2 linked regions of the Neurospora crassa OR74A genome follow. Each later gene encodes a partner of the first gene's protein in a complex. Links are inferred from orthologs where the notes say so. Each region holds a gene or a part of one and is shown on either strand. Other genes may lie near its edges. The genes, in order: NCU06485 and NCU05305.

Region 1 (8,847 bases):
TCAAGACGTCTGAAGAGACTGTCATCTTCCTCGGGCTCGCATATCCAGGGATGAGTAAGAGCTTGGCGCGCCGTGAGCCGGTGTTTGCTGTTGTAGGTGAGACATCCGCGAATGAAGTCCTTTGCATGGCTTGAGATGTTTTCATCTGGACGGAGGCGGGAGGTTTGAGGGTCAATGGGCTCATTGTCATTGCCGTAGTCTTCATCGCCATCTTGAACAGCAATGTCACAGCCGAGGTCATTGAGGATGATGTTGAGGTAGCGGTCGATTCTGTCTTGGCTGGTAAAATCGAGATGACGAAGATTCGGAAGTTCTTGGAATCCAGAGAAAAGCTGAAGGCAAAGCATCCCAATGGACCAGATGTCGACAGACAATGAATGACCTCGCTCGGAGTTATAGCATTCGCTGAATCAAGCGTTAGCATTGCTCTCAACAATCCAGTGACATATGTCAACCCAGGAGGGGAAGTGCGAAACTCACGGGGCGCGATAGAAGGTTGTTCCAACCTCGGACCTTAATCTTCCACGGTTCGTAACAGCCGAGTCCCCAAAATCGGAGAGAACAAGCCTGTAGGAGACATTTGGCGCTATGGCACAGAGAATATTCTCTGGCTTGATGTCTCGATGTGCGACCCCCTTGTTGTGGATGTAGTCAACAGCATTGAGGGTCTGGCGTATGATCCAGCGTATTTCTAGCTCGGGGAGTGCCCCCTCGCGTGATAGAAGTGAGAAGAGATCGCCACCAGTAGCCAGCTCTGTAAAGATATACCTAGAGATACATTAGTTGCCCAACCCTGCTAGCTGCTCGTGATGAAGGTCTTACACCGAATGCTCTGATTCGAAGGCAGCCTTGATGGAAAGAATATTCGGCTGACGACTTTTGTTAGCTTGATCCATCGTCCCGTGCCCTTTCAATGACTTACGTGATCGAGGTAGCTCAACAGCATTGCCTCCTGCTTGATCCGACGGAGTATCTGGTGTGACCGGGGCCGTCTATCTAAGTTGTGCACTTTGCAAGCCACCTGCTGCCCTGTCAAGACATCTGTGGCTAGGTAGACCACAGCATGGGCACCGTTTCCTAATGTGCGGTCTTCCACAAGGTATCGGTTCTCAAGGAGCTGGATGTTGCTAAGTCAGATCATGGCATGTTTTATTTTCGTCGCACGCCAAGATAACAATAGTACCTTGAGCTCCTCTCGCTGGCGTGCAGTGAGCCGCAAAAACGAAGTTCCCTGCTCGAGCTGAACGAACTTGAAAGTGATGTAAGGATATATGGAGATGACATCCCCATTCTGGAGTAGTCTTCCCGGAGTGATGTCTGGCTTCTTCCCAACGCACTTTTTGTTGAGCAGAGTCCCGTTGGAAGACTGTCGGTCTCGCACAAACACAAGTGATGTATGGCGACCTTCTTCGTCAACAGTGATAGAATACAGCTCAAAGTGGTTTCTTGAGACAGTGGAATCGACAAAGACAACGTCATTATTATCTCGGTCCGTGTCACGACCAATTCTGACTGTCTGGTTTGGCCAGATGTAAAAGCCGCCTGGACTTGCGACACGAAAGTTAGGGAGCACTGGTTGGAGGAGACCAGCGAGGGATACATCACAGTATTCACGATCACTTCAGGGAAATGACAGATACCTACCTCTTGTAGGAGGAGCAGTGCTAGTGTCTTCGAAGGAAACACTTGCCACAGGCGGTTGCGACATATCAAACCAGCTGTCAACACCGAGACACGGAAAACAAAGGATAATGATAATGATAAAGCCGGCAATGTCAACGTTCACTCATGTATGCGTTGATGTCGTCACTTGCGTCCGTAGATAGTGTTGACTATTCATGGCCCACCGTGGCTTTGCGTATTGAGAAGTAGAAGTAGGTAAAGGTTGGGAACGACACTCAGAGTTCAAGATCACAGGACGAGATTGGAAGAGTGAGTTGGTGCCTTGAGGATCGACTCCTCCTTCCCATGTCCAGCTATCGTGAAAATCTTTTTATGCAGACAGGTCGTGCCTTCCTTTGACCTGGACGGGTGCAGCTTGCAAGTGAAGTGAAAGTGCAGTGTCCATTAGTAGGAGCGGGAGGCAGGCTCGCTCGTTGGAGGACGAGACGGGAGTCGATCTCCGAGCCGAGCTTCTGATGCAGTCCAGCTGAAGCTCCCGTCCGTCAGCGGGAGCTTGGGCCACCTAGGGCAAAGGTCGCACCCCGCACGGACCGCATCCAAACAAAGAGCGGCAGGCCTGGGCAATTTGGGCCTGCGTCACCTGACTTACCCCACAGGGCTGCTTGCCCTGGAGCCCTATGAGATAAAAGTTCCCCCTCTCCATTCGCAAGTTGAAACTCTTTCCCATCACCAACAAGCAAAACTCATCTTTAAATCCAAGATGTACGCGCTCCCGCCCCCCAGCATTTGCTTGCCCGCCTACTGACATACAAGCAGTTCAAGATGAGAGCGAAGTGGAGAAAGAAGCGCGTGAGACGCCTTAAGCGCAAGAGAAGAAAGATGAGAGCGAGATCGTAAGTTTCACCATCGGCGCATCGACAGTTGATGCAGCTACAATCGCCACTCAGGAGCATATAAGCTGACTCGATCCCAGCAAATAAACGCCTCGCCTCACTCGACCCAATCAGCTCTTGACATTATCCTCTAAGCCATTAGACAACTTGGGCTCGGTGTCGACTCCTCCCCTCAGCGCGGAATGACGCCACATCGGTCGCTCTGAAACCTTGCGGTGATCAGGCGAACTCAGGGTTCCTACGGAACATGCACCCCTCGGGACATGCTGCACATCAAACTGTGGCACACATAGAACGGAACTGTTTGGTGGCGGATATGGTATTGGCTGGTTGCCTGTCAACTTCATGGTTGAGTAGCAACAAGGTGTTTACGGATCAACGCCGGTGGGAGCAAACTGTCTAGTTTGGAGACGCGAATTCGGGATACCCGTCGCAGCAACAATAAAGGCCGCTTCGCTTCATGATACACTTCTCTGCATCTGTGACAAACGGGACTGCATGTCTTGGATCAATTGTTTCTGTCGACAACATGGTCATCTGCCCTCGAACAGGTGACATGGCATTTGCACACAAAGGGAATACCAATTTTTGCAACATCAGTGAACATTTTCAACGACGGGGAAGGCAGTGGCCTGCATGCACGAGGGCATAGAAATCGCGTCCCAAGCCTTGGTTTGCCTTGTGACTTGGACTGAACCCCTCCATGTCTGGTTGATTGTTTTAGCACGCGTGCGGCTTGCTATTCTTCATCTCTCCAAGCAATTTAACAGCAAACCAATAGCAATTGATTTCATAGCATGAAGATTTCGCGCTTCGTAGTATTTCAACACAAATCATCAAACATATTGCATCGTCGTCATCAAATGTGGTGTGTCGATTGTAAAGGCGGTAACTGATACCGGACCCCGGCAGGCGGCAGAATTTTTTTCTGGCTGCGGGATCCACTCGGAAGTTCAGACAGCGACTCTCCAGCTGCATGATCCATTTGATTTGGCGGGACTTCACGACTCTACACTACCCCAGCACCTTTGTAGCCCGCAAACACCACCATGGGAAGCTCATCAGACAAGAAGCGCAAGAGCGCTGAGGATACAACACCCCAAATCAAGAAGAAGAAGGTCGACTCCGAGAAATCGTCCAAGTCGCCCAAGTTCATCAATGTCGGAGCTGTGAAGAGGCCGCAGTATGCGCCTCCGGTCGTGGGTAAGCACATGTTGATCGGCTGAAACCATGGCCGTCAAGTCCAATGGAGGAAGACTCTAACATGCGCTCCTAGCCGCGACCTCGGGACTCGCTCTCTCTTCGTCCATACAATTTCAAGCCTACGCCACACCAGCCGACAAGACCTCGAAGCGCAAGAAGAATGGCGCGCCCGCACAAGAGTTGCTGCTGCACTCTGCCAACCACCGGACGATGGACTACACAGCTCGCGAAGATAGGACAGGAGACTCGTCCGACCCATACCTGAAGCACTACATTGGCATCTTCAACCCCAAAACCGCCGAGGTTGAGATTGTAGAGGCGCGCAAGATGGTGCTCCGTGGCACAGTTAGGTCGCAGAAGGCGGTTGACGAGGCAATGGAAGAGAAGACTCAGAAACAGGTAAGCCTGGAAGTAGTGGTCAGGGGCATAAAACCAGACTGACGGTGCAACAGCAAATGATGGCCATGAGGAACGAGCTCGGCGAGGCATTCGGTACTAAGAAGGCGAAGAAGGCGATCCGCGACGTGACGGAGAACGCCATTACATCTCAAAAGGTTGGCCAGAGCGAGCTGGTGATGATGGACGCCATCAAGACCGCCACCAAGGACATGTCGACCAAGGAAGACCTTCAAGCCGCTGTCGACAACGCCCGACCGGTACCGCGCGGCAACTTCAATGCCGATGAAATCGCAGACGTCTACGTACCATCCCAAATTATCGGATCCGAGGTCCTGAACGCGATACCAGTGATGGATTGGCAGGAGAGCGTCAAGAACCTAGAAGACATCCAGGTACCTTCGCGCTTTGTCGCCAAGCGCGTTTCCAACGTAGCAAGCAGCGACGACGCGGTGCACAGATTGAGGGTACTGCGGTACCTCTTGTTCGTCATCATTTTCTGGAATGCCACCTCGCAAGGAAGGGAGCGTGGCACAAGAAGCATTGGTAAGAGGGATAAGCTGCGCGAGGTTATGGCACCAGCGCCCGAGATCGTGATTGAAAACATCCGCCGCAAGTTCTCGGACGGCGGAGTCATGCGCAAGACACACGTTGACCTTCTGATGACGCACTGCTGCGCATTTGCCGCCATCATCGACGGCTTCAGGGTCAACACGATTGACTTGAGAGAAGATCTGAAGCTGGAGCAGAAGCAGCTCAACCAATACTTTATCGAGATTGGAGCTCGCGTCAAGCAACAGAAGGTCGCTGACAAGATGGAGAACTTTGCCGTCCTGCAACTGCCTCTTCAGTTTCCCAAGATCAGACTGCCGGCACGGAAGAGGTAAACCACGCTTTGCTGAGCCGGACCCACGGCCACGGATCATATCATCAAGTTTAGTTGGATTGTGCGCATTGCACATCATCCACCCAGTCCTACATTGGACATCTTGGCGCTTACGTTTGGAAGTACCCTACGAAGTGCTGAGAAAAGGCATGCTTTTTGCGAGAGAAGCGATCATCCAGCTCAGTTGGAAGTCTGGCCGCTTCCAGCCTGTAACCACCATGGTGTGTTGTTGAGACACACCCAAGCGACACCCAGGCGCTGGCCAATCAAAATTCCAAGCGCCTAATCGAGAGGAGGCCATGACCTGTACCGCACTATTTGAGCATCTTGCCGAGGTATACATCAGTTATTTTGTGGTTCGGGCAGTAAAAGCTAGGCTAGAAAGCATATATCATTGTATAGACAATGTAGAGAATAGTCATGGAAATTGATGGGCCATAAGAAGTATGGCGGGAAGCTTGTCCCTCAGTCTTTATCAAGCTCTGAATGGGGTCAAAGAGATGACATTGAAATCTAGGAAAAGGGTCACCCCACAAAAAGCTGGCCCCCCTGGGTTCTGGTTCTCAAGTGCCTCAACGCTTGGCCAACCCCTTTGTGTTTGTTTACTACTGATATCCGCACGGACCCAATAACGAAGATGGGAACTGATGACGGGCTTCGAGATGAGTAATGGGGCAGAGATGATCATTAACCTGAACCAGCTAACGCCAGTTGATGTGCAAAATCAGAACCACGAACGTCAAGCTAACATATGTAACAGGAAGAATGTCCGCGGCAAATCCTACGCAGATATCAGAGCAGCCGACGGCCAGGCTAGAAGAAAACAAGATGAAAAGGTAGTTATATGGCTGCCCTGGATGGGCATCCGCCCAGGCGTCACCTTCTACCGTTGTCCCCTTTCGCTGGCCGCTGGCCGCTGGCCGCCCCGCGGTGTGAGACGCCGTCGGTGGTAGGTAGGGCTGGGCCGAAGCCGATCACCCCACGATGAAGTTCCTTCCCCTTGTGCCTCCCCAAAGCGTCCCCGACTTTGTCCGTCCTCCCCGTTTCCCCTGGCCCATTGCCTTGACCATCCCATCGTCCGTGTGCCGGCCGCTGCTTGTGCTTCCCCTCGCTCCAGTCCAGTCCCCTTAAGTTGGACCCCTTGGCGTTGTGCAGAGTGAAGGCGCTTGAGCCGCATTCGAAAGCCACGTGGGGAAAATCCCCACCGAGCGACCAGAGCCAGTGCAGTTTTCCTCACCGGCACCCACCCCGACCAGCTTAAATGGTATGACGACATTGCCTCTTTTAAAGAGCTTTTGGGATCTTCAACTGAGACGCGTCTCACTCTCAACGACCATTTTCCACAGATTATTTTGCTCTCTAAATTGCGGCTTCAATTTTGCATTTACACACTCAATGCACCTTTCCCAATGCTGTCTGATGTCTCTGCTTTCAATCTGAGCAGCCATTCTCTGCAATTTTGTGTTGGTGACAGCGACAATACGAGTGCTCAATTCACGACGCGTCAAAGTTGGGTCGACGGGCGAATTGTCGGGGCAGGGGGTACTTTGCGATTTTTTCTGAGGTGATTCGCAATGCCGGGGCTGGTGCCTGCAGCGCATGGACCAGCTTTTGTGGTCTCTGGGCGTGCTGATTGGCCAGGACGGTGCCAACCAGCGCCTTTCTTCCAGTTCCAGTTTCATTCCAGTTCACAGTTCCGCGAACGACCTACCTGGTAATGAAGGGAACGAACGCGACCGACCGACCGCTGACTGTCCACCTTCTTGCCTCCCGTCTGCCGCACCCCAGGCAGCTCACCACGCTCATTCACTCACCACCTCAACTCCAGTGACACTTCTTTCACGCCAGTCCTAGGTAGTCTTTGCCCCTGCTTCTGGCCTCCCTCCCGTCCTGCCTTCCTTCTGCACAACCTACCTACAATTCACGGCATCTGACCGACTGCACTCGATATCTCCCGCCGAGGTGAAGCTACTTATCCATCCAGCTTCGCGACTTTCAACTATAACGACTGGAGTTTGCTTCAAGTCCTCTCCTCTCGGGAAGTTATGCGCGCGCGCGAGAGGATTTGCACCACACTGCTGCCTCCCTTCACTACTACAACCTCTACATAACATACTAGCTCGGCACCAAGACCGGCACCGCAGTCCGACTTCAACTCCCCAGCGAGCAGTCTAGTCTAGTGCCGGGCGTGTGTTCGCGTGTGTGTGCGTGTCTGCTGCCGTGTGTGTGTGTGTGTATGCATATTGCATTACCCAAAGAAAAAAAAAAAGAAGCATCGTCGCATCAGTCGTCGCATTCTACCAAATCCTCCTACCTGCCCAGTGCCTCTCCTAGATGCCCTTCGACTCTCTGTCTGGCTCTACCTCAATTGCGCCCTTGGATAGGTTTTGCTCTGTCCAAACCTCAAGGCAACTTCGACCTGAACTAAAGTGCTCCGTCGATGCAGCGGTACATCCCACCTCCTGTTAGTCGTCAACCTGACAGCAAGGTGAGAGCCGACCGAGTGTTGACCCAATTTCACCCCCCCACGGCACCTAGGTCCATACCAGACAGAACATAAATCTGTATGTGGCTCTCTTTTTTTCTGGTTGTTCAGTTGCCTCTTTCCATCCCGTCCCTTTGCTCCCACTTCCCATTGCTTCCCTTGACCTGTTGACGCATCCTGTTTTGCTCTGCACGGCACACACGGACCTAACACGACTTATTCATGCAGGCTGCTAGATATTGAATAGCTGTTATCAATAAACATCGCATCGAAATAGCCAGTCGCAAGCTCAACAATTCACCAACCGCTAGCTTTTTGCCCCCATTCTCGCCATCGGACGGAATAGGCACCCCATCGGAATCCACCCTACTATTGTCCACCACCAACCCCAGTCCTATTCAGAGCTATTCGTTGCAGCACTTATTGGACCACATTATACCTAGCCGTTTTGCCCCCACCAACAATCTGCTATGTCTAAGCGTAAAAAGGACTTTCTCACGGATTTCGACCCTAACAAATCCGATCCCGAAGACGAAAACTTCGACCCCATTGCCGAAAAGCAACGAACCCCGCGAAGTGCAAGGAAGCAAGCAAACACCCGCCGCCCAAAGAACCGAGGCGCTGCTGGCGGCGCGCGCAGGCGGAACAGCCGATACAAAGGATCCGACATCGAAGACGACGAAGATATCAGCGACAGCGAACAAGACATCTCTTTCGGTGAAGAGGAAGACGAGGAAGAAGAAGAAGACTCGGACGCTCCTGTCAACGCTACGGGCAGGCGGATGCGCCAGGCTGCCGCACGACACCAATCGTACAGGGAAAGCAGTGAAGACGAAGACGGGATCCAGTCGTCTGACCAAGACAAAGACGTCGTCCAGGAGCCCGACGAAGAACATAGAGTGCCTTCGATAGAGTCTCCTGAACAGAGTCCCAGCAAAAAGAAGTCTCGCATCGTTGTGCTGAGTGTCAAAAAAGGCGCCAAGCCAAGCTCACAACGACCAAGACGTGGCGCTGCTGCCAAAGAACCAGCAACCATGGTTCCCCCGACCCGCCGCTCTACGAGAGCCCGCACGGAAGAGACGGACGAGCCATTGCTCGAGCTGTCCAACTCGGGAAGACATACCCGCGTCACCCGCGCATCAACAAGAAGTAAAAGCCCGGAAGCCTTGACCCACGCCACCAGAGCTACCCGTGGTTCCAAGGGTGTTAAGAAACAACAACCTCCACCCATTCCCGAAGCCTCGCATGAGGAAGATGACGACGAATTCAAGGTCGAGACGGATATACCCAATGCTGACGATGTGGACGAGCTGGCCGGTCAGGCGAACATGGTCGATGCGCCCGCTGACCATCCAGACGAA
Region 2 (8,649 bases), on another chromosome or scaffold:
ATTAGCATGCATTTATATCATACTATAGATCCAACAAATCCAGTAAATCCAGTCATGTCATGAATCCAATGAATCCAGTAAATCCAGTCATTGGAAATCCAGTCAGTCCAACTAAATCTGTAGTAATGTACATCATCAGTACAAGTCCCTACTAGAAACTTTCCCCCCCCCCCTTTCTTTGACATCAAATATTGGGTGGGTTTATGACTAAACCAATATAATCAATTAAAAAAAACATTGTACGAAACTGAAACTTCACATGTCGATTTGACACCCAATGTTTACAAACCTATCAAGTAGGATAATATCGCTAGCTACCTAGTCTCCTAAGTAGGTACCTACCTCACCTTTTGATTCTTCAAAAAGGTTAAGTAAGGGTCTCGAGAAGATTGCCCGGCTCACATGAAAGGGAACCTCCAAGTACCTGTCTGTACTTCTACGTGTATCCTAATAGATAGCATAGAGATAGGAAGAGACAAAGGACGGACATGGACAGTGTGCACGGGGACACTCGGGACGTTTTTTGTTGGGCCGCTATCGGCGTGTGTCCCGTCTGCTCTGTGTGTGCCAATGTGCTTGAGAACGTCAGGAGTAATTTTTTTTTTTTTTTTTTTTTTTTTTCTGTTACTCTCACTCGGCTTATTTGCTTGGGTTGTAACAATACTGTTTGTTGTGATTTACGCTATTCGGGTTCCGCTGGAAACGCAGACCAGTCGGGCGAGTGGATTCTATTTCTAAACACACTGACACTCGTGGATAGGTAAGGTAACTATCTTTTATCGTTGACAGCTGTCGTTGCGGTGAGAAGCGAGGAAGGATGATGGTTGTTGGTATTTGAGGTTGACGGAACATGGCAGGCAAGCAGTCAATGAAAGCAAACATCCAATGGCACTTGACGGTCAGGAGGAGGTATGGAAGTGCGAGTGTGGAAGATGGGTATCAATGTCCCTCTTGTTTTCCACTCTCGTATCTAAGCTATCCCAAGAGTCCTTTTCACATGTTCCCGCCAGTCTCTTCCACTCCCACACCTGGCCGTGCTTTGTTTCGGGGCCTGCGATACCTCAGTTTGCGTGCTGTCCTTCGTTTTTCGATTCCCTTATGTTCACCAACCACCAGAAACATCACCTCGATACCTTATACGTTAGGGAGCAGGTTCGGACGAGTCCAGCTATTAAAGTCTTTTGCGTGTGAAGGTGAGGTTGAGTTAAGAATGCCACCCCGTATTTTGAATTCCCGAACATTTCCCCCCTTTTCTGTACCCCAAAAAGCATGCTAACAACATTTGATGGAACAGACCAGGGTGGTGATAACTGAAGAGACCAACCACTAAGGCAAAAAAAAGGATGAATATCGGCGATATATATGCGAATGATAATGTGCCGGGATAGATGCGCACAACATCTGACACGGCTGTGACGTCGTTGTGGGCAACGGACGGTAGTGGTAGGGATGAAAAAGAGGGATGACAGGACCCAAATACCCGCTTAACCTGGCAACCTGAACCTCGTCGGAGTCCTGGTCCCCCTCAAATCATGGCTTCCCAAATGTCAGAGAACGAGACGATCCGTGACGTCGATGGCGGCGCTTCTATGCGGAAGCCTCGACAGCCTCAGTCTTCTCTTCAATGGTGGCGTTCTTGACGCCCTCGGTGACCTCCTCGACGGCCTTCTTGGGGGTGGCAGAGCCGGAAGCCTCACCGGCCTCCTCAGCCTCGAGGCGCTCAATCTCCTTCTTGGCCTTCTCAATGTTCTGCAAGCGGCATTGTTAGCAACGGCTAGTTCAACAGGAACGAAACAATATCAACATACCTTGCGAGTCTGCTCAGGCTGGTCAGCCTTCCACTGCTCGAGCTTGGCCTTGATCTTCTCGACGGCAGCAGGGATATCGGTAGCAGCCATGGGGGGCTCGACACCGACGAAGCTGCAGTCCTCAATGACCGAGGGAGGGAGGCTGAAGGTCTTGCCGGTGGCGACAGGGGCAGCACCGGTGGGCTTCTTGGACTTCTTGCCCTTCTTGACGGCAGGGAGGTAGTCGTCATCACGCTCCTCCTTGCGGACGAGCTTCATGCCCTTGAGGCCAGAGTCGTCAACCTTACGAAGAGCCTGGGCACCGAGACCCTTGTCGGCCAGGAGAGGAGCCTTCTCGGCGACCTCGTGGCTGGGGTCGAAGTACTTGAGGAGAGAGTTGGCACGGCGGATCTCCTCGAGGTAGGCGGGGTCAGAAGCCTCGGCAAGCATCTTCTGGGCACGCTCCATGCGGCGCTCCTTGGCGATGCGCTCACGCTCGGCCTGCTGTCTCTCGCGAGCCTTCTCGCGCTGCTCACGCTCCCACTTGGCGAACTCCTTCTTAGCGCCGTAGTACTCATCCTTGAGCTTCTTGATGGCCTGGTACTTTTCAGACTGGAGCTGCTGGAGCTTGGTGCGCTCGTCGCGCAGGCTGGAGAGGTTCTTGTAGGCCTCGTCCTGCTCGGCCTTGATGGCGTCAAGCTCGGCCTGGAGCTTGTTGTACTTTTCGCTGAGGGCCTTGGCCTCGGGGTCCTCCAAGCTGTCCTTGATCTCCTTGATCTTGGCCTTGAGGTCGTCGATCTGCTTCTGGGCATCGTCGAAGCCAGCAAAGCTCTTGCGCTGCTTGCGGAGGTTGGAGATCTCGGCGAGGGCCTTCTTCTCGTCGACGAGCTTCATCATGCCGCCGTTGACCTCCTTCTCCAGGCGCTCAATCTCGCGGTCGAGTTCCTCGGTGGACTTGAAGTTGACCTTGCTGCGGGCAGTCTTTTGCTCGGCAATGCGGCTGCGGAGCTGCTCATCGAGGCGCTTGATCTGGTCGAGCTTGGAGGTGCGGGCATTCTTGCCACCGGCCTGCTGCTGACGGATCTCGTTGAGCTGGGAGATGAGCTCCTGGCGCTTCTTCTGGGTGGGGCTGGGCTGGTCCTTGTTCTTGCTAGGAGCGGCGAGCTCAACCTTGGCCTTGATCTCGTTCTGGATTCAAGGACAATTGGTTAGTCTGGCCTTGTCACATGGCAATTGGAGGCAGCAGCTTCTAGTAGCAAAAGACGTGGTGGTGGTGAGGGTGGCGTGGACGGCAGGGTGCATCGTGAGTGCGAGGGCGGGTGCTCTGACTCCACGGTATCGGGTAGATGCGCTCTTGGTAGCGGCCAGGGCAGGGGACTCACGTATTTCTTCAGGGCCTCCTGATACTCCTTCTCGGCCTTGGCGAGGTTCTCGTTGAAGGCATCCTGATCAGGCTTGTGAGGCTTGGTGGTGGCCGCAGGGGCGGCAGCGGGGGATTGCGACTCGGCCATTGTGTGTGGTGTTGGGGGTTGCTGAAGGAAAAAAAGAAGAAGGAAGAAGAGACGAAAGGAAGGGAATAGTAAGATAAAGACGGGGAAGGGGGACTAGGCAACCGGGGGGCGTGGGTCGGAGCCGGTGGGTAGGTTGGTTGGAGAGCTACTTAGTGTAGAACAGCCGCGGGCGACCTGAGGAAGGATGGGAAGTGGAAGGCAGTGCACGTCCGAGGACCGCTGTTCGGGTCCTGTAGGATAGGATGTACCTCTGGGGTAATCGCTGCTTTGAGATGTGGTTATGTGGATGTGTAGTGGAAGATGGGGTCCAGACTGCCCTGGGGAGAACAATGGCTAGGTAGTGCGGGTGCTGTCAATGCCTGATCTGTTTTGCCCGCATCCAAATTGACAATTGAACGGGAACTAACCTAACTTTGGTCACTTTGAACCCTCAATTCACAGTCCCGTCGCCAGTTCCAAAAAATTCCAAAATTTGTCCCGCTTCAGGCGTGTTCCAGATCTGCAGATCGTGGCCTTTCCCCGACACCGTGTCACGCGTGTCACCGTCTTGGCCTGTGCGCTACTACCTACCCTACCAAGTACATATGGTGCGCTGGTTGGTTGGTTGGTTGGTTGGTTGGTTGGTTGGAGGATGATGATGATAGGTTGAATTGGCTCTTCACTAAGTTCACTTCACTTTGCCCAGCAATGTCCCTCATGGAACATATATGGATCATGGAAGAGGTTTATATAGGTAGTTGGCCGAGGAGAATTAATTTTGTGTACTATCATGTATGTACCGGAAACGCAACTTGAAGTGTATGTCCGCTTTTCCAGTCATGCATAAAACCAGCGCACGCCATCACTGTTCCTCCTAGGTCTTTCACGACTTCAACAAACTGCCTGCCTGAATCAGAAGCCGGTCAACGGTCAACAGCACAGACCATCTGCGCGCTTACTTGTAGTGTCTCACAGGGGTGAAGGCAGCCTCCGGCTCACTGTGGACCCATCCATCTCTTATCGGCCGGCGTGGAATCCTGGAGTGCCCGGGCGTTAGGTCTGATCAATGCGGCCACGCCTCTGGTTTTCGGCGACACCCACCCTTCCCGCAATTTTTTGAGAGCCTTTGTCCTTCAGCCTCGTAAACAGGAAAGTCCTCCAAGCTATCAATCCACCAACACGCCATCCACCATCGCGAACCACCACCTCACCTGCGCAACCTCCACATCACCACCACTCCGCGACGACAAACACTACACTTCAATCGACTGCCCAACACACACAGTCAAAATGGAGGACGACAGCAGCCCCACCAGTGCCTCCAAGGAAGTCTCCCGTCTGTGGAGGGCCTGGAGGACTGTTCACGAGATGGTTCAGGACAGGGTACGCCATCCATCCTTATCACGGCGCTTGCTCGACGCGCCATCGCCCAGAATGATTCGACCTATTCTGACATGTACATGTGCTTCTCGACTATAGGGCTACGAGTTGGCGGAAGACGAAGTCAAGATCTCGCTCGAGCGGTTCAAGGCTGAATACACGAACGAGGATGGAACACCAAAGTGAGTTCCTGCGTCGGCACCCATCACCCCTCCATCACCACCACTTTACGCGTCGCATTTCAAACCTCAAACCACTATCACCTCCCCACCAGACTAACATGACGACACCAAACCACAGCCGCGCCAAGCTCCAATTCTCCGCCCGCCCCTCGGAAGCCATGATCAAAAAGTTCACCGCCCCTCCCACGCCCTCCAACCCCAACCCCGTTCCCGAATGCGGCACCATCTGGGTCGAGTTCTGCACCGAAAAGGGCTCCATCGGCGTGTCCGTCATGAAGAAATTTGTCACCCACTGCTCCGACAACAAGTTCAAAGCCGGCATCTTCATCACCGCCGTCCCGCTTTCTGCCCAGGCCCGCAAGGTCATGTCCGTCACCTCGCAGTACACACAGGTCGAGTGCTTCCTGGAGGAGGACCTGCTGGTCAACATCACGCACCACGAGCTCGTGCCCAAGCACGTGTTGCTGTCCAAGGAGGAGAAGGCCGCGCTCCTCAAGCGGTACCGACTCAAGGAGACGCAGCTGCCGAGAATTCTGAGCAAGGATCCGATTGCGCGGTATCTGGGACTCAAGAGGGGCCAGGTCGTCAAGATCATTCGTGTGTCGGAGACGGCGGGTCGCTATGCTTCTTACAGGCTTTGCGTATAAGGGGGGCAAGCGTGTGTGCGTGAGAGAAGGGGGTGGTTGCGTGCGGTTGGCAAAGCTGGGCTGGCTGGCTGGCTGGCTGGCTGGAGGGCACTACACCAATCCATCCAATCTCTCCCCAGGCTTGATTTGTTCTCTGGACGGTCTTCGACGGGCCAACGCGGGTCTGGCTGGTGGGAATCAGTTGATGACTATATGGACGAGGACTGGATAAGAAGCCTTGGGAAGGGGACGATGACGGCCAGCAGCGAAGCAAGAAAGAAGTGAAAGCACGGCAGCCACCAGCGGGACAGGGAGGAAGGGGTTAGGGGTTCGGTTGTGTAATACAAAACACTTGGGCGTTTTTCTTTTTCTTAACTATTCTAGCATCATGGGGGATACAGGGAAATCAGTTTCTGTTCTTTCGAATTCAAAAGAGGACAAAGAAAGAAAGGCGTTACGGAGTGGCTTTTGTACTAAGTAGCTTGAGATATATACCGACAAGAGAATATCCGAGCTATCATTATGAAATTTTGAGACAAGAGAGATTAGAGCAGTTGGGTACTGTGTTTGCTAATGGGTATATTCACCACGGAGTCTACTATATTAGAGTGCTTATCTGAGCTAGAAGTAGCCCCTGGCTGAATCATCAACATTCAGGTGTTTGGATGCTGACTGAAAGAAAGTTTCGTCAATCCCTTTTGAAATCGGGCATGAGATATCAGAGTTATTGAGCTGTTGATTCGATTGCTCAAGAGTTACTCAGTGACTGGTGACATTGTATTGACCAATACAGAACTATACGCAGCCTCTACCATAAAGTCAAGACACTTATCCTCCAACACTGTAATCCGTTTGTTACATGGCATGTTGACTGTTCAATTATTCATTCATTCCTCTGTTAATACACACCTAAAAGACTCACTCAAGTCCAAATCACGAACCAATCCCAATCCCAATCCCTCTAAGGCCAAACCTCAACCTTCTCCCACTCCCCCTGCACCTCCCCGCCCGCCTCCTTCGCATGATAACTATTTCCCCTCCACAAATACAACCACCGCCTCGCCCTCTTCGCATCCGACAAATCCACCTGATCCACCTCGGTCGGCACAATCACCACCACCCTGAAATTCTTTCTGGCTACCTCATCCTGCAAATCCACCACCTCCTGGCCCAACCCCTCCCCTTTTCCAGGGGGGAACGCCACCGGCTGTCCCGGCGGCGGCCCGCGAAACGTGCCCCTCATGACCGGATTCAAATTTCCAAAATGCGCCGTAACCTCCCTGCTCCAGCTCCATTGCTCCTCATCCTCCTGTGTCTTGCCCTCCAGTCTGCGCATCCGCTGCCGCAACACCTCCCGCACCTTCTTGGCCCCTTCACTGTCCACGTCCGGCCCCAAAAGCCAGGCTGATCCACGGATCCGCCACTGCGTCATCACTTTTTTGTCTTCTCCTGTTTGGGCGTCTTTAGCCTTCTCAATCCAAAATACGGCCTCAACGGGCCCCCCGCCGCCCGTCATCTCCCCGCCCGCTTCGATCCGCTCTTCCGAGGCCGTGTCGACGATCTCGGCGGCTTTTTCCATGCGGGCGTCCGTGGTGAAGGCGATCATGTCGCTTTCGAACACGCCGGGAGGGTTCAGCTCGGCGGGGTTGTGCGGGTTGGCTTCGAGTTGGGCCCAGAGACTGCGGCAGACGCAGGTGCGGGCGCGGGGGAGGACGGGGATGGTGGAGGAGACGGGGGTCGGGGTCGAGGTGGAGGATAAGGAAGGGGGTAAAGGGTGGAGGGTGGAGAGAACGAAGGTGCGAGAGGAGGGAGGGAGGGAGGTTAGGTGGGAGAGAAAGGGGGCGCGCCAGGGGGGTGGGGTGGAGGGGAGTGGTTGGCGGTTGGATTGTTGAGGGGTGGAGGTGGACATTTTGGTGGCGGTTGTTGAGGAGGGGGTTGAGGTGGTTGAAGTAGTGCCGGTGAGGCAGCGGTTGATGGATGGTGGTTTGGTGTAGCGCGGTGGTGATGTTTTGGAGATCTTCTGGTCGAGATTGGTAGCTGTTGCGGGAAGCCTTGGGACTTTGGTCGACAGAGAACGAAAGATGATGGTAGAGAGTCTCTGGGAATGCGGTGATGATTTCTGACAACAGCTGTTGGTAATGTTGAGCTTCAACTTGATGACGGGCAGTCTACTAGCCATTCATCGATGACGTCCGTGATTGGAAACAGGTGGGCGTTGAGCGAGGTTGCTCGGTGGAAGGAAGTCTGCCCCTCGTATGTTGACGTTGCCAGTGATGCTGGTTAATTGGAGGTCGAATGGGTGAACTGAAAGGCAGACGCAATGTTGATTTGAGATGTCCAGAAGAAGGAGCAAGTTATTGGAAGGAATGAAGAGGGTTGATGTAGGGCAACAGCTACAGTAGTGCCTCTATGATGACGGCTGCATGTCTGACCCCACGCTGCGATGACGGAGTCGATCGGGCCCGGGCCTACCCCGCTGTTTACTTGCTCCATTCGTCAACAGCCATCAAGGTGTTTGCTCGTTTGGAACAAACTGAAACCTTCCTATCACTGGTAGTATCCGAATAGGATATTGATTGCAAAAACAGCTTGGAATTATTGCAAGGACCTGGGAGAGAAAGCCAGGGACACAGCATATACTCTGCTCTCCAAGAAGCACGTCAGTCTCCTTCTGCTAAGGAACGGCCCGGTGCTAGTTCTTACTTGCACTCTTGGTGTAGCCACGCTATGGTACCCAATCGGATGAACTGAGCCTCCAACACGTTTCAGGAAAGGTTTCTCGAAGAGGTTGATAGTTTTGAAATTCTTCAGATGTATGCCAAGGAGGAAGAATTATGGTGTTCTCTTTTGACCGCGCGACTAGCGGACGTTCTTGCTATGATCACCTCTGGACCAATCATGTGTTGTGTTCGCTAACAATTTATATAATTTGTACAGGAAATCCTACCCTCTCACACCTAAGCATCCAAGCAGAAAGCTATATATTGTACAATGCTGCCTTGGCGAAAAGTTGTCCATTAGTCCAGGTCCATGGGATACGGTTGGATATTGGTCGTCGTCTATTTCAGGGACTCTAAAATCTCAGATTTACCGGACAACATCATCGTAGCTTTCGAAATTCTACAGGAGCATTTGCCAGAGACCTACATGGAAGTAAATATGGTTCAACAGTATGGGCCAAGTT

The links.
Region 2: NCU06485 (region 1) and NCU05305 share a complex: the UniProt entries of both Saccharomyces cerevisiae proteins name them as parts of the RNA polymerase I (Pol I) complex. The link is inferred for Neurospora crassa OR74A from reciprocal best matches to the Saccharomyces cerevisiae genes RPA49 and RPB5.

What each region holds. Positions count from the first base shown.
Region 1 is NC_026503.1:1,579,357-1,588,203, reverse strand, and holds NCU06485 (hypothetical protein), read left to right. Parts: upstream 1-3,492; 5' UTR 3,493-3,565; coding exon 3,566-3,719; intron 3,720-3,792; coding exon 3,793-4,118; intron 4,119-4,171; coding exon 4,172-5,002; 3' UTR 5,003-5,526; downstream 5,527-8,847. Other genes in the region: stk-43 (serine/threonine protein kinase-43), read right to left, coding at 1-405, 481-768, 823-869, 923-1,117, 1,184-1,542, 1,645-1,708; NCU06484 (hypothetical protein), read left to right, coding at 7,957-8,847. UniProt on the Saccharomyces cerevisiae protein: DNA-dependent RNA polymerases catalyze the transcription of DNA into RNA using the four ribonucleoside triphosphates as substrates. Component of RNA polymerase I (Pol I) which synthesizes ribosomal RNA precursors.
Region 2 is NC_026504.1:5,393,515-5,402,163, reverse strand, and holds NCU05305 (DNA-directed RNA polymerase II polypeptide), read left to right. Parts: upstream 1-4,325; 5' UTR 4,326-4,567; coding exon 4,568-4,660; intron 4,661-4,756; coding exon 4,757-4,839; intron 4,840-4,957; coding exon 4,958-5,486; 3' UTR 5,487-6,106; downstream 6,107-8,649. Other genes in the region: NCU05304 (nuclear segregation protein), read right to left, coding at 1,588-1,749, 1,809-2,975, 3,170-3,298; NCU05306 (hypothetical protein), read right to left, coding at 6,427-7,644. UniProt on the Saccharomyces cerevisiae protein: DNA-dependent RNA polymerases catalyze the transcription of DNA into RNA using the four ribonucleoside triphosphates as substrates.